Sus scrofa: one gene and its partner. The protein of the gene in region 1 interacts with the protein of each later gene in a pairwise test. Links are inferred from orthologs where the notes say so. Each region holds a gene or a part of one and is shown on either strand. Other genes may lie near its edges.

The links. The genes of interacting proteins can lie anywhere in the genome.
Region 2: the proteins of KLHL42 (region 1) and SERTAD1 interact in binary tests that used the Homo sapiens proteins (3 or more experiments, as listed by UniProt). The two-hybrid records come from large-scale screens. The link is inferred for Sus scrofa from reciprocal best matches to the Homo sapiens genes KLHL42 and SERTAD1.

The regions. Positions count from the first base shown.
Region 1 is NC_010447.5:45,951,350-45,957,827, forward strand, and holds the start of KLHL42 (kelch-like protein 42), read right to left. Parts: upstream 3,539-6,478; 5' UTR 3,422-3,538; coding exon 2,550-3,421; intron 1-2,549. UniProt on the Homo sapiens protein: Substrate-specific adapter of a BCR (BTB-CUL3-RBX1) E3 ubiquitin-protein ligase complex required for mitotic progression and cytokinesis. The BCR(KLHL42) E3 ubiquitin ligase complex mediates the ubiquitination and subsequent degradation of KATNA1.
Region 2 is NC_010448.4:48,698,447-48,704,764, forward strand, and holds SERTAD1 (SERTA domain-containing protein 1), read right to left. Parts: upstream 4,003-6,318; 5' UTR 3,829-4,002; intron 1,864-3,828; coding exon 1,144-1,863; 3' UTR 435-1,143; downstream 1-434. UniProt on the Homo sapiens protein: Acts at E2F-responsive promoters as coregulator to integrate signals provided by PHD- and/or bromodomain-containing transcription factors. Stimulates E2F1/TFDP1 transcriptional activity.

The DNA.
Region 1 (6,478 bases):
AAAAATAAAAATCATTAAAAAAAAATTAAATGTACATACCCTTTACCACACCTATCCAGAGATTCCAGGCATTTGCCCTATAGAACTAACACACATATGCTTACTAAGATAGGCACACATATACCAAGCTGTTCAAAAATGGTAAATGGAAGTGACCTAAATACTCATGAATTAGGGAAGGGCTAATTACAGCACAGTGTGTCCATAGGCTGGAATACTACACAGCCATTGACAAGCCTGAAGTGGATCTACATTAGCTGATACAGCAAAAACTGAGTGGAAATACCAAGGGCCATAAAAATCAGCAAAGCTAATCAATTTTAGAATAAAAATATGTATAAGATGTATATACATCCCACATGTACATGCACACATATATGCATTTTTCCACCTCGGCCACTATCATCATATTTATATACGTTTATAATTATAAAAATACATTTATAATGTATGTTTATAAATGTCTATAGATGCACCTTTTTTTTTTACTCCATGGCTTTTCATGCCATTTGCAATTTTTCTAAGCATGTATTTATGCATTATTTGAATTTTTTTCCCCCCAAAGAGGACAAAAACAGCATTCCTAGGAGGGGAAAAAAGGACTACCAAGAATTTGTGGAGAAAGACGAGAATCCTACAATGTTTCATGTCAGAGGTGTGGAGCTAGGGCTAGTGTGCTGAGCACCATACAGCAGGAGGCGACAGACAACGTGCCAGGCCTTCTACCCCTAATCTGAGCATTGCCCATCACCACTACACGGTCATTTGTTGATTCAACTAACACTCTTAAAATCTGTTTAAATATAATGCTCTGGGAGTTCCTGTAACGGCACAGCGGAAAGGAATCCGACTGGGGACTATGATGCTGCAGGTTCGATCCCTGGCCTCACTCAGTGGGTTAAGGATCCAGCATTGCCATGAGCTGTGGTGTACGGAGCAGACGTGGCTCATATCTGGCATTGTTGCTGTGGCTGTGGTGTAGGCCAGCAGCAGCAGCTCTGATTAGACCCCCTAGCCTGGAAACCTTCATATGCCACAGGTGCAGCCCTAAAAAAAAAAAAGACAAAAACTGAAATAAAATAACGCTCTGATGGAGTACCCTTGTGGCTCAGTGGGTTAAGGATTCTGCATTATCACTGCTGTGACTGGGGTCGCTGTTGTGTTTCAGGCTCAATCCCTGGCCCAGGAAGTTCCACATGCTGCAAGCATAGTCAAAAAAAAAAAAAAAAAAAAAATTCTGATATCAAAATTTAAATACAGTAACATCCCCCTTGGTGCAAATAATGCAATGCAACAAAGAGATCCTAGAAGAAAATTCGCCAACCTCTAGATGGTTATCACCTCCAGGAAGGAGAAAGTAGGAGTGACAGTCTTTCTGCTTCTTCATTCTCTGACGTTTTTCTATTTTTTGTGAATAACTCTGTATTTTTTATTATGAGGGGAAAAAAAAAAACCTTCCAAATTGAATTTTATATTACAGTCGAAAAAAGGCCAGGACTCATTCCCTTCCCCCCCCCCCCAACTGCTCAGCCTTGGGGGAGGACTTTAAGTCAAGTAAATATGTGTGATGACTTTCCCATTCCTGTTAAGACTTTCTTTGCATGGCTGTGAGTTCCCAAATCCTCATTCCACACTTCAGGGCAGGCATCTTGGTGGTACTTGAGATGGATACAGGTGGACCAGAAGAAAGGGTATTCCTGTCCTCCCTTGGGTTACATTGATTCTTCTCCCCTCTTTGGAATGGCTCTAGGCCATCTTGGGCCCTACCATCTTTCTTTCTACCACTTCTTCCTATAATGCTCTTTGCTCTTGTTTTCCTATTCTTTTCCTGGCTCTGTCTCCCCCTGCCCCCATCTCCTTTTCTTCTCCTTTCTTCAAGTCACCCCAGTGCATGTTGGGAGGGATGTGCAGGATGGGAAGGTAGAAGGTTGGGACAAATGGAAATGTTCTAATTTTGCAGGTGACCAATGTAAGGCTCAAGTTTTGGGTCCATGATGAAGACTGTCTGCAAAGAAAGTGAGCTGCAAAAAGAGAGAATAAAAAAATAAAGATGATCTCCTATACAGCTGACATTCTAACGGTTATTTTCTGATCACAGGTTGGTGCCCCAGTGCTTAAAGCTTCAAGGTCATTAACAAGATTCGCCAACATCAGTGTTACAGGTTACTGCCCCATGTGTCATTATAATCAGCATTAGTTCCTAAAAAATAAAAAGGTAAAAATAAAAGCAAAATTACAGTTTTCTTTAAAGGTATCCTTCTAGGAAACCACACACATCTTTTTTTTTCCACTGAGATAGACGCAAAGTTGGGGGGGGGGCAGTCTAAAGGTGCAATATCTGCAAATAAATGACTCAGATAGTTGATTTCACTGGGGCCTCGGCTTCCTTGCCAAGTTCATGGGTAACTTTGCCAAAGGCCACCAACGCTCCCCAGGATGTCATTCCCATCCCAGCACAACTTCCTGTGACTGCTCAGCAAACACTAGGGGACCAAATTCGTGAACAGATGAAGGCGGGAAAGCAGCAGCACGGCTGGGCGCTTGCTTACCTCTTCTGGTTCATGGAGGCCACCTGGAGCCACTCGTTGGTGCTGGGGTTGTAGGAGTGGGCCGCGGAGATCTCTTGGCTGGTGATCCTGTAGCCGCCCACTATAAAGAGGTAGTTGTCCAGGATGGCGGACCCATAGCCCCTGACGTTCACCAGGTCTGGAGGGAGGTTGTTGGCTAGCGGGAACCAACGCTCGGTCATCTCCTCGTACCTGAGCATGGACGGGGGCTCTCCTTGATAGGGGTGAGGGGCTAGGGGTCCCCCCAGGAAATCACCCAGCGCCACGAGCACAGGAGTCCCAGTCATCCGGGCCTCTCTCAGCCTCTGTTTCAGGCTGACATCCCCGGGGGCCGGAGGAGAAGACCCCAGGAGATGGAACTGGGGCTTGCAGAGCACCTCGTGGAAGTGGACGGCCATGAAGCGCAGGCAGGCCTCTTGCAGGTCGGGCAGCCCGTACACCTGCGCCAGGCGGTACAGCTCTAGGCAGTTGGTGAGCCGCACCTGGGACAGCAGCAGCCGCAGCAGGGACGTGACCTGCAAGAAGGAGGCCGCCTCCACCAGCTCGGACAGCAGGCTCACCTCGTCCATGTCCTCCTCCTCCTCCCCACCGCCGCCCGGCTCCCCCCGTCGGCCCAACAGCCAGCCTTCGCGGGCCCCGCCGGCGTTGATGAAGTCCAGCACCAGGCGCAGGCCCGGGGCGCTGAGGCCGCGTAGCTGCTGCACCTCGGGGCCGCCGGCCTCCGGGCTCAGGGCCTCACGCATGCCGGAGCGGTAGAGGGCGCGGAAGTAGTCGCTCTGCTCGATGAGCTTCCTCTTGCTCACCGGGTAGCAGCGGTCCTCCAGACGGATCTGCACCATCTCCTCGGCCGACATGGTTGGGGGCCCGGGGGCAGCGGGGGCTCCCGCCAGCTCTCCGCGCTCGCCGGGTTCCGGGGAGGCTGCCGAACGCTGGCGCTGGGAGGCGGCGGCGGCGGCGGCGCAGGGCCGCCCGCGCCCGCCCAGCCTCTCCCGGCCGCGGCGGCGCCCCCGAGACGGCCCCTCCTCCCAGTCCCGGAGGCGGCGGCTCGGCCTCGCCACCCTCCCGGCTCGGCGCGGTGGACGGCCCCTCCGGCCTCCCTCCGCGCCAAAAAAGGCCCGGGCGATGCGCGCTCCCTGCTCGGGTCGTCCCGGGCCGTCTGCCTGGAGCCTCCTCCCACGCCTGGCCTCTCACTTCCGCCCGCAGGACCCCCGCCGCGGGCTTGGACTTTCGGGGAGGGCTGGAAGGCTGCGGGACCCGGGAAGGCGCACAGCCGCCCCCGCACGCCGGTCGCCGCGACCCTGCAGCCCGGCCGGTCTGCGTCGATGCTTCGGAGGCGGGGTGAGGCCGGCTGCCTTTTCTTCCGCGCCGCTCGACCAGCGAGAAGGAAAGAAGCAAAAGAAACGAGGGTTGGAGGGAGGAGATGAAAAGAGTCGGGGTCCAGGGGGTCAAAGAGACAACACATCTGGGACCGCTCGTGCGGCCGAGTCCGACATCCTGTCCGGGGAACTGAGGCCCACGGGCAGTCTCTGGACGTGGAGGTGGCACCTAGAGCTGATTCTTGGGAATGGTCACCGTGTAGGAGCCATCTTGCAGGAAGGAGGTCCAGCTAGATGGCAGCAGGTTCTGCAGGGCTCAGTGCGTTGCGTGCATCCGATGCACCCGATGGAAAGGGTTGGGAAGCAGGGGAGCTCGTATTTGCTGCTGGGGCCTGTTCTCCTTAGGCCAGTAAAAGAAAGAAGTTCAACTCAACTAAATCAAGTTAGATCACGTGCCTCCTTTTATGCTATTTTCTACCAGCCACGGCATTCCTAATTTCAGTTTGGTTGGGCTAGCCGTCACGGAATGTTATTACTCTCTGGGCAGAAGGTCTGGTTGCTTTTGCTCATATCTGCCTACAGAGATGGCCTTTCTTGCCACCCTCTTACCCACTCTCCTACCCTTGTCCGCTCCAACTGAGGACTACTTCTTCCGCATCTTCTCCCACCGAACGTTGCAAATAGAAACCTCACCCCCCAAAAGATCTTGTGTTGCTTGGAGGTATGAATGAATCTTAGAAGGGTAGAGTAGGGGTTTTTTTTGGTTTTTTTCCTCTTGTTTTTGTGGCACCGTGGCATGTGCAAGTTCCCCAGGCGAGGGATCAAACCTGCACAATAGGGACGGGAGCTGCAGTAGTGACAACGCGGGACCCTCAATCCGCTGAGCCACAAGGCAACTCTATGTGTGTTTAGTCTTATCTTACTCAAAACCCCCTGGGAACTTTCCCAGACCAAGACTGAGAACCAAGTCTAGTAATTCTCAACTTGGGAAGAATGTGTGTTTAGATTTACTTTTATTATTACAGGCTTTAGCTCTCTTCATGAATGACAAGTCGTTTACATAGTAACTTCTTCATCAGTACATTGGCTCAGTATTTTAAACAAAAGATACTTCCTACAACAGCTGATCAATATTTTATGTTGGGAAGGGTTTAAAAACCAGAGAAAAAAGTTTTATAGTAAATCATAAAATCCTTTCAACACATTGTTTGGTTGCTTTTGTGCTTCTTTATAATTTAGCTGCTTCATAGAGAGCATGGTTTTCTTTATTATACACCATGAACAAGGAACTAAAATTTTAAAGATGTAGGGAAAAAAAATTCTAGTAGATTCTGGCCTCCCTAGGAAAAGTGAAGAAAACAAAGATGACTGACTTGCCTCTTTCAAGTTATTTCTTGGATTCTGGGAAAAACTTTTAGCTTTCACTTGTTTCACCTGGCCTTTAAATCATCACTGGTAAAACTCCATTATCTCCTGGACCTCTCACACGTCTGTTCTCAGGGAGCGTGTGACATCTAAAGTTCGTGTGGAGGGAGTGATCATGAATTTACCATCCCCTTTGGGAAGGTAACGTTCCATGCCCAGGATTAGGCATTTAGCTGGGTAAGTTTTGCTGGGAGAACACCCCCAGAGTCAAAGAGTCTTGGACCTGGGATTTCTTTGTCTCTCCTTTCATCAGCAGTGATGCCAGATTCAGTGGGTCAGTGAAGAACAGGCTCTTAATCTTTCCCTGGTCCCTTAGAATCCTTTGCCAATAGATGCTTTTGTTTCCCAGCCGTCATAGATAAGCCTCAGACTGGTTTTTTCTTGCCTTTTAAAAAGAGACAAAAAAATCACGCTCACAGAATCACACACATTATAAAGGCAATTCACACGCGGTAACATCAGAGCAGATCTTGGGTAAGTAAGCTGGGGTGTCAGCTTGACAATACTGGGCAATGGTCCAGTACGCTTTTGGGCCCCCTGACATGATAATAAAGTCATTTAGAACTGGAAGCTGCTTAAAGATCAAATCATTTTCATAACTCATAAAGTAAGTTTTCTGTTAAGGGAGAAATGCAAAGTCAAAGCAACATAGACATAAATAACTCCTTATTTACAAAAGACCTAAAATTATTTTTCAGCTTCATGAAAATGTTGCTTGTCTGTAATGTATACTCATAGATCTGTTATTGACTGATTGGTGAATAATAAAGACTGGCCTTTATGGTACTGTGATTCACTTCAAACACTTACATCATGATCTGTTATATGAAAGACAAAAGTAATGGTCAAACACAGAGTTAGGCTATTTCTTTAAGAATTATGGAAAATAAGAGTTCCTATTGTGGCTCAGCAGGAACCCGACATAGTGTCTGTGAAGATGGGGGTTCGATCCCTGGCCTCTATCAGTGGATTAAGGATCGATCCAGCAGCAAGCTGTGGCATAGGTCACAGATGGGGCTTAGATCTGGCGTTGCTGTGGCTGTTGCGTAGGCCAGCAGCTGCAGCTCCAATTGGACCCCTAGCCCAGGAACTCCCATATGCCACATGTGCAGCCTTTTAAACAGAAAAAAAGAGGAGTTCCCGTTGTGCCTCAGTGGTTAACGAATCCAA
Region 2 (6,318 bases), on another chromosome or scaffold:
GCTGGACGGCGGGGGCGGCGCAGACAGCCGGCGCTCAGGCCAGCCCTGCCGCACAGGCTGTCAGGCAGGTGGCCCCCGCTCGCCGGGGCCTGCGCTTCTTCTGGAAGGAAAGCAGGTTCGCCTGCCGTTCCGAAATAAAGTCAGCACCAACCTCCGGTGGCTTTATTGCGGAATCAGCTTCCAGGCTCCCTTATCCCCTGCCCAAAGAGAGACTGGAGACCTGGGAGTGGATTTGGTTCAAAAGTCGCTGGTCTTCTTGGTTTTTTCACCATTTTCCTGGAGAGCTGGCCCTCAGAGACTCCATCCAGCCTCCAGCGTTTGTGCTTGAATTTCTGGCTCATTCTGAAAGGTCCCTTCTGCTCCCACCCCCAGGCCCCAAGACACAGAAGTAGATTCCAGACAAGGACCAGATTTCATTTTTAATCAGTGGCCTGGGGCTTCTCCCCTGCTGCCGCCACCTCTGTTACGTACACACACAGGCACATCAGGGAGACCTGGCTGAGTATATTCCAGGAGTCTTCTAAGGGGACCAGTTACCAGACCCAACTGGTCTACTTCTCAGACCAAAAAGCAGTACAGTTTGAAACCTAGCTCTTCAAGAGAGGACCTCTTGGAGCCTCAATTTTCCCAGCTGTGTAATGGGGATAATAATAATGCCCCTCTGGTTATGAGGATTAAATGAGTTAACACACATCAAGGGCTTAGAACGGTGCTGGGGTTGGGTGTGCAGTCCACGCTTGATCCATGTTATAGGTTATTATCTTACCCTCGCCTTAGCCCAGAAACAAAGCAGTACACAGATTTGAGACTTCCCAGGACCGGCTTTAATTTCACAGAACTGGTTGGGGTCTCTTCCCACATCAGTGAAAAGGGATACTAGGCTTTGACCTCTGGGAATTCAACACTGGGCCTGGTCCAATCACATTCCAGCCACCAGGTCCTGGCATTTCATCACAGGAGCCCATCCCAGACTCCCCCCATCGGCCATAAGTGAAGGGGATGGAGGGTGGAGGTAAACTTGCCCAGGACAGGATTCCTTCTCTCCAAAGTCCCTCTCTAGGGAAGCCGGCTGTGTCTTTAAGGAGAGTTGGTCCAGCCACCAGGCTCAGTTTCGACACCAGCTCACCACTCCATCCCTGGGGGTCAGCGCCCCGGCCCTGGTGGCCGCTCCAGTGCCTGTGTGCCTACCAGCACGTCCATGAGGTAGTCCAGCTCGGCCTCGTCCAGCTCTGGAGCTTCCTCCTTGCCTGGCCCACCCTCCGGGCTGGATTTGTGGCCCTCAGAGGCTGGTGCCCAAAGTTCACTGTCATACATGGAGGTGTCAATGTCCTCAAACAGGCCCTCAAGCCCATCGTCCAGCAGACAGCCAGTGGCCGGGCCCAGTAGGTCCAAGGCACCCAGGCTGGGTGGGGCTCCCCCAGTGGGGCGGCCTGGTGGCCCCTCATCTACCAGGGGCTGGGGGGCCTGACTCAGGCCCTCAATATGGCTGAGGTCCTCCAGGAGGCTGGCCATGGAGGCCGAGAGGGCGGCGTCCGAGCTGGTCAGCAGGTTGTCCACCACACCAGGGGATGTAGGCGGGGTGGGCACAGGTGGCAGAGCAGCCGCGGGTGCCATGGACGCCTGGATTCGCCGTAGCGTGTTCACAACCAGCACCAGGTGCCGCAGGTCCGGCTCACTCTGCCGCAGGCTGTGATGGAGCTTGAGCACCGAAAGGTCGAAGAGGGAACTGGAGGCCACCGACTGGGGTGCCTGTGCCACTGCTGGGTGGCCAGAATCCAGCCACCAGGCGTCAACTGCCAGGGCTTCCTTCTCCTCCTCCTCCTCCTCCTCCCGCTTTCGCTTCAGGCCCTTGCTCAGCATCATCTGCAAGGAAGGACAGTCAGTCAGTTATGGAAAGCCAACGTGAAGTTCTGACAACTGCTGTGTGATCTTGGGCAAATCACTTAACCTCTCTGACCTTAGCCTTTCTTAGGGAAACTTTAGAATATGAATGATATTTGTATCTATTTCCAAGAGGTTTTGTTTGTTTGGTTTTGGTCTTTTTAGGGCCACACCAGCATTATATGGGAGTTCCCAGGGTAGGTATTGAATTGGAGCTGTAGCTGCTGGCCACATCCACAGCAATGCGGGATCCGAGCCTCATTTGTGACCTACACCACAGGTCACAGCAACCCTGGATCCTTACCCACTGAGCGAGGCCCAGGAGGGAACCCTCATCCTCATGGATAAGAGTTGGGTTTGTTACCCCTGAGCCATGACAGAAACTCCCCTAGAGGTGTTTTAAGGAATAAGTGAGATACGAAAAGAACTTACAACAGTGAATACGTATACAATAACTCCCATAAATAATACTATTAATATAACTATTATTTATTTCTTCAGTGAAACATGTAAAATGTCCAATAGTCTAAACTTTCTTTTAACCTGCGAGGCAGCTGTTTCACGTGCTTTAATCTAATATTTATTGGGGTGCCTACTAATAGTATCAGACAACCAATACATAAACAAATACAGGAAGTGTTAGAAGGTGCTAGGAAGATACCAAAAGGATCTGAGCATAGTCAGGGAAGGCTCCCCCTCCGAGGTGACTTTGACAATCTTTGTTTGTTTGTTGGCTGGGCCTGTGGCATGTTGAGGTGACATTTGAAATGAGCCCTTAAGTATGAGAAGGAAGTAGCCATGGAAGAACCTGGGGGAAGGCATTCCGGGAATAAAGGACAACCGCAAAGGCAAAGAAAGTCTTAGAGGCTGGAACAGCTTGAACTGAAAAAAAACTCTGAGGTCAGTACACAGGGCGACATGGGGGCAGGGAGGGAGAAGAGCGAGTTGGAGAGGAGGCAGAGGCAAGGAGCTTGGAGTTTATTGTGAGTGTGGTGGGCAGTCACTGAAGAGTTCTGAGCAGGGAAGAGAGTCGCGTTGTGGACTGATTAGGTTTCCAGAAGATCCCCTAGGCTGCTTTGGGGAGCAGGGACAGGGAGGGAGGCTGGAAGAGTGTGGCACTGCGATCCATTGGAGGCTTGGGGTGGGCGATGATGGTGACTTGGGAGTAAAAGGCGGTAGTGGCCATGGAAGGAAGTTGGTCGATTCAGGATTTATTTGAGAGGCAGAATGGACAGAGCTTGCCGGACAATCCTGATAGGCACAGGGGTCACCGAGAGAAGTTTGAGAACCCACACTTTGCCCGGGGTGGTGCCCTGGCCCAACCTGATTTTTTAAATCGGGCAGCCTGCAGGGTACAGTGGGTACTGGGATCCTTGCCTAGCAGGACTTTAAGACGGACCGCTCACACTACTCAAAACTGGGTCCTCTCTTCCTTCCCAGCCGACCCGGGAGTCCGGAACCGCAGGAATTCAGCCCCCACCCCCGACTCCTCCCCCGTGTTCCGGCGCCCCCTAGCGGCCCCAGGACGGCTTTCTTCCGGGGACTCCGGCTCCTCAGACCCCCCCGGACCCTTTATGCTGCCGCGCGGGACGTGAACGTTCCTGCCAGCCGCCCGGGACCGTGCGAGCCGGAATACCCAGAGAGCTGTTCTGCTCTCTCGGCCTCCGCTCGCTTCCGGAAGGCAGTGGAGGCGACTCCTCCCGAAGCGGCGGCGGCGGGGGCGGGTGAGTCACACAGCCGGAGCCAGAGAGCCGGCGCCTCCGCCCCCTTCCCGGGCTGCGGCGTGATTCACCCGGCCCGGCCGGGGCGGACGGCCCTTAGAGGCCCGTGCGTCTCGATTCCAGACAGCCCTGGTTCGCACCTGCCGGACGCAGGGATCGAACCTGCCAAAGGACCCCGCGGCCAGTACCCCTTCTTTCCCCTGGTTTCTTCCCTTCATTTACATACCCAGCTCACAAACTGCCAATCAGGACGAAGAGGGAGCCACCCGCAGCCAATCAGGAAGCGGTGGCGGCAGCATTGCTCGCTCACTCTCCTCCAGCAACCGGAGCCTGGCTTGAGAGACGGAGTTCTGACTCCAGCGCACGACTTCAGGCTCTCCACTCCTCTTAGCTACCGCCCACTCCCCTGGAGGCCCCGCCCTCCACTCAGGGATTGGTCCTAGATGGCGATGGGCGGGGCCTATAGGGGGCAGGTTCGAAAGGAGGGGAAGTGGTCTTCAGGGCGCATGTCCGGGCAGCTTCGTGAAGGAACCGGGGAGAGAAGGTGGGGTGGCTCTTTGCCCTGTGGGACGGTAGAGGGTGGCGTTTGTGTCTCTCCTTGTGCTGCCCCCTCACACCTACCCCCGGCCCCGCCAATTCCAGCAGTTGAACTTCTTACTCACCCAGCCCCAACAGGGGTCTACACTCTAAGCCAGATAGACCCGGGGTTCAAATTCTCACTCGATGCGAGAACTTGGAAAGACGCTTGACATCTCTGAGTCTGTTAAATGGGAGATCTTCTTGCCTAGCTCTTGAGAGTTAGTAAAATTAAAATAAGGTCGTCTCTGTAAAAGCACTATATCAGACGCTACAGATGCTGGGCAGGTGTACTCAATTGTGGTTACAGGAACTAGGAAGGGAGGGGTGGGATGTCCCTGGAGCCCCTTCTTGGGCTCCCTTCCCTAAGTAGCTGTGTGACTTTGCACAAATGTTTTAGTTTCTTAGGAGCATCTCCGTTTCCCCACCTCTAAAATCAGACAAATAGCATCTGGCTCAGAGGGTTGTTTTTTTTTTTTTTTTTTTTTTTTTTGTCTTTTGTTGTTGTTGTTGCTATTTCTTGGGCATATGGAGGTTCCCAGGCTAGGGGTCGAATCGGAGCTGTAGCCACTGGCCTACGCCAGAGCCACAGCAACGCAGGATCCGAGCCGCGTCTGCAACCTACACCACAGCTCACGGCAACGCTGGATCGTTAACCCACTGAGCAAGGGCAGGGATCGAACCCGCAACCTCATGGTTCCTAGTCGGATTCGTTAACCACTGCGCCACGACGGGAACTCCAGAGGGTTGTTTTAAGGATTAAAAAACAATTGGTGCAAAACGTTGGAAGTGGTGTGTGACAACGTGTCCTTTCGTAGTAATGGCTGTTGTGGTAATAGCACAGTTCAAGGGGAGACACGCCGGATGGGATGAAGGTAGACAGCAGTTTTATACTTGTTGGCTAAACTGACAATGGGTCTTACCTTCTTCAGTAGCTCGTTTGCTAACTCTTCAGGCCCTATGGGAAGAACTGTTTGTGAATAAAGCCCTTGACCAAAGTAAGCCATCAAAAATGCTAACTAGACTGGTTGATTCAGACAGCGATTATCAATGGATGCTCAATCTCAAGTGTCTAGATCCAACTCCAATTTCTAGGGAACAGAGAGTGAAAAATTAAACACGAAGGCAATCAGGCAAATACACAATGTAGGCTGCCTACAGCACCACAGGGTTATCCTATCAGAAATTCAACTTCAAGAAAACACAAGAAGGGATTGGGGGAGGTAGATATTTCAGAATACCAGAGACTATATAATTTCTTTATTAAAACCAAATAGGCATCTGAATCTGCATTCAATCATGATTGGGGGCTGGGGTGGGCAGAAACTCCTATGAGAGATATTCTTGAGAAAATTGAGGAAATTTGAACATAGACTGGATACTAGATGATATCGCGGAATTTTAAATTCTCTTAGATGTGAAATGGATTAATAAGTGAGCATCCTTAATCTAAAGAGATGCCTGGAGTTCCCATCGTGGCGCAGTGGTTAACGAATCCGACTAGGAACCAGGAAGTTGCGGGTTTGGTCCCTGCCCTTGCTCAGTGGGTTAACGATCCGGCGTTGCCGTGAGCTGTGGTGTAGGTTGCAGACGCGGCTTAGATCCCGCGTTGCTGGGGCTCTGGCGTAGGCCGGTGGCTACAGCTCCGATTCGACCCCTAGCCTGGGAACCTCCATATGCCGTGGGAGCAGCCCAAGAAATGGCAAAAAGACAAAAAAAAAAAAAAAAAAAAAAAGAGATGCCTGCTGAACTACTATATTAGGGGTAGAATGTCTCCAATTTACTCTCCTTTGGTTCAGAAAAAAAAAAGTACGTATACAGATACACAAATGAAGATAAAGGAGACAAAATGTTAAATCTAGATGGGAGAATATTCAGGTGCACAGAATACATGCGGTTTTTTCCCCATCTCTTCTATGTACTCGAAATTTTTACTAATAAAAAGGTGAAATGCTAATTACAACAAGATCCCTGCTAGGCAAATTCACATAATTTCTCTCACAACCTATTTTTTGGGCCTGGTAAAAAAGGAGTCTCCAGGTGGCTCTTTCCAGGTCATACAGGGAAGAAGAGCTCCTAGGAGTCTGAGGAGTTTGACTAATGTGTATTGAACACCTACTGTGTTGAGGTACAGTTGTAA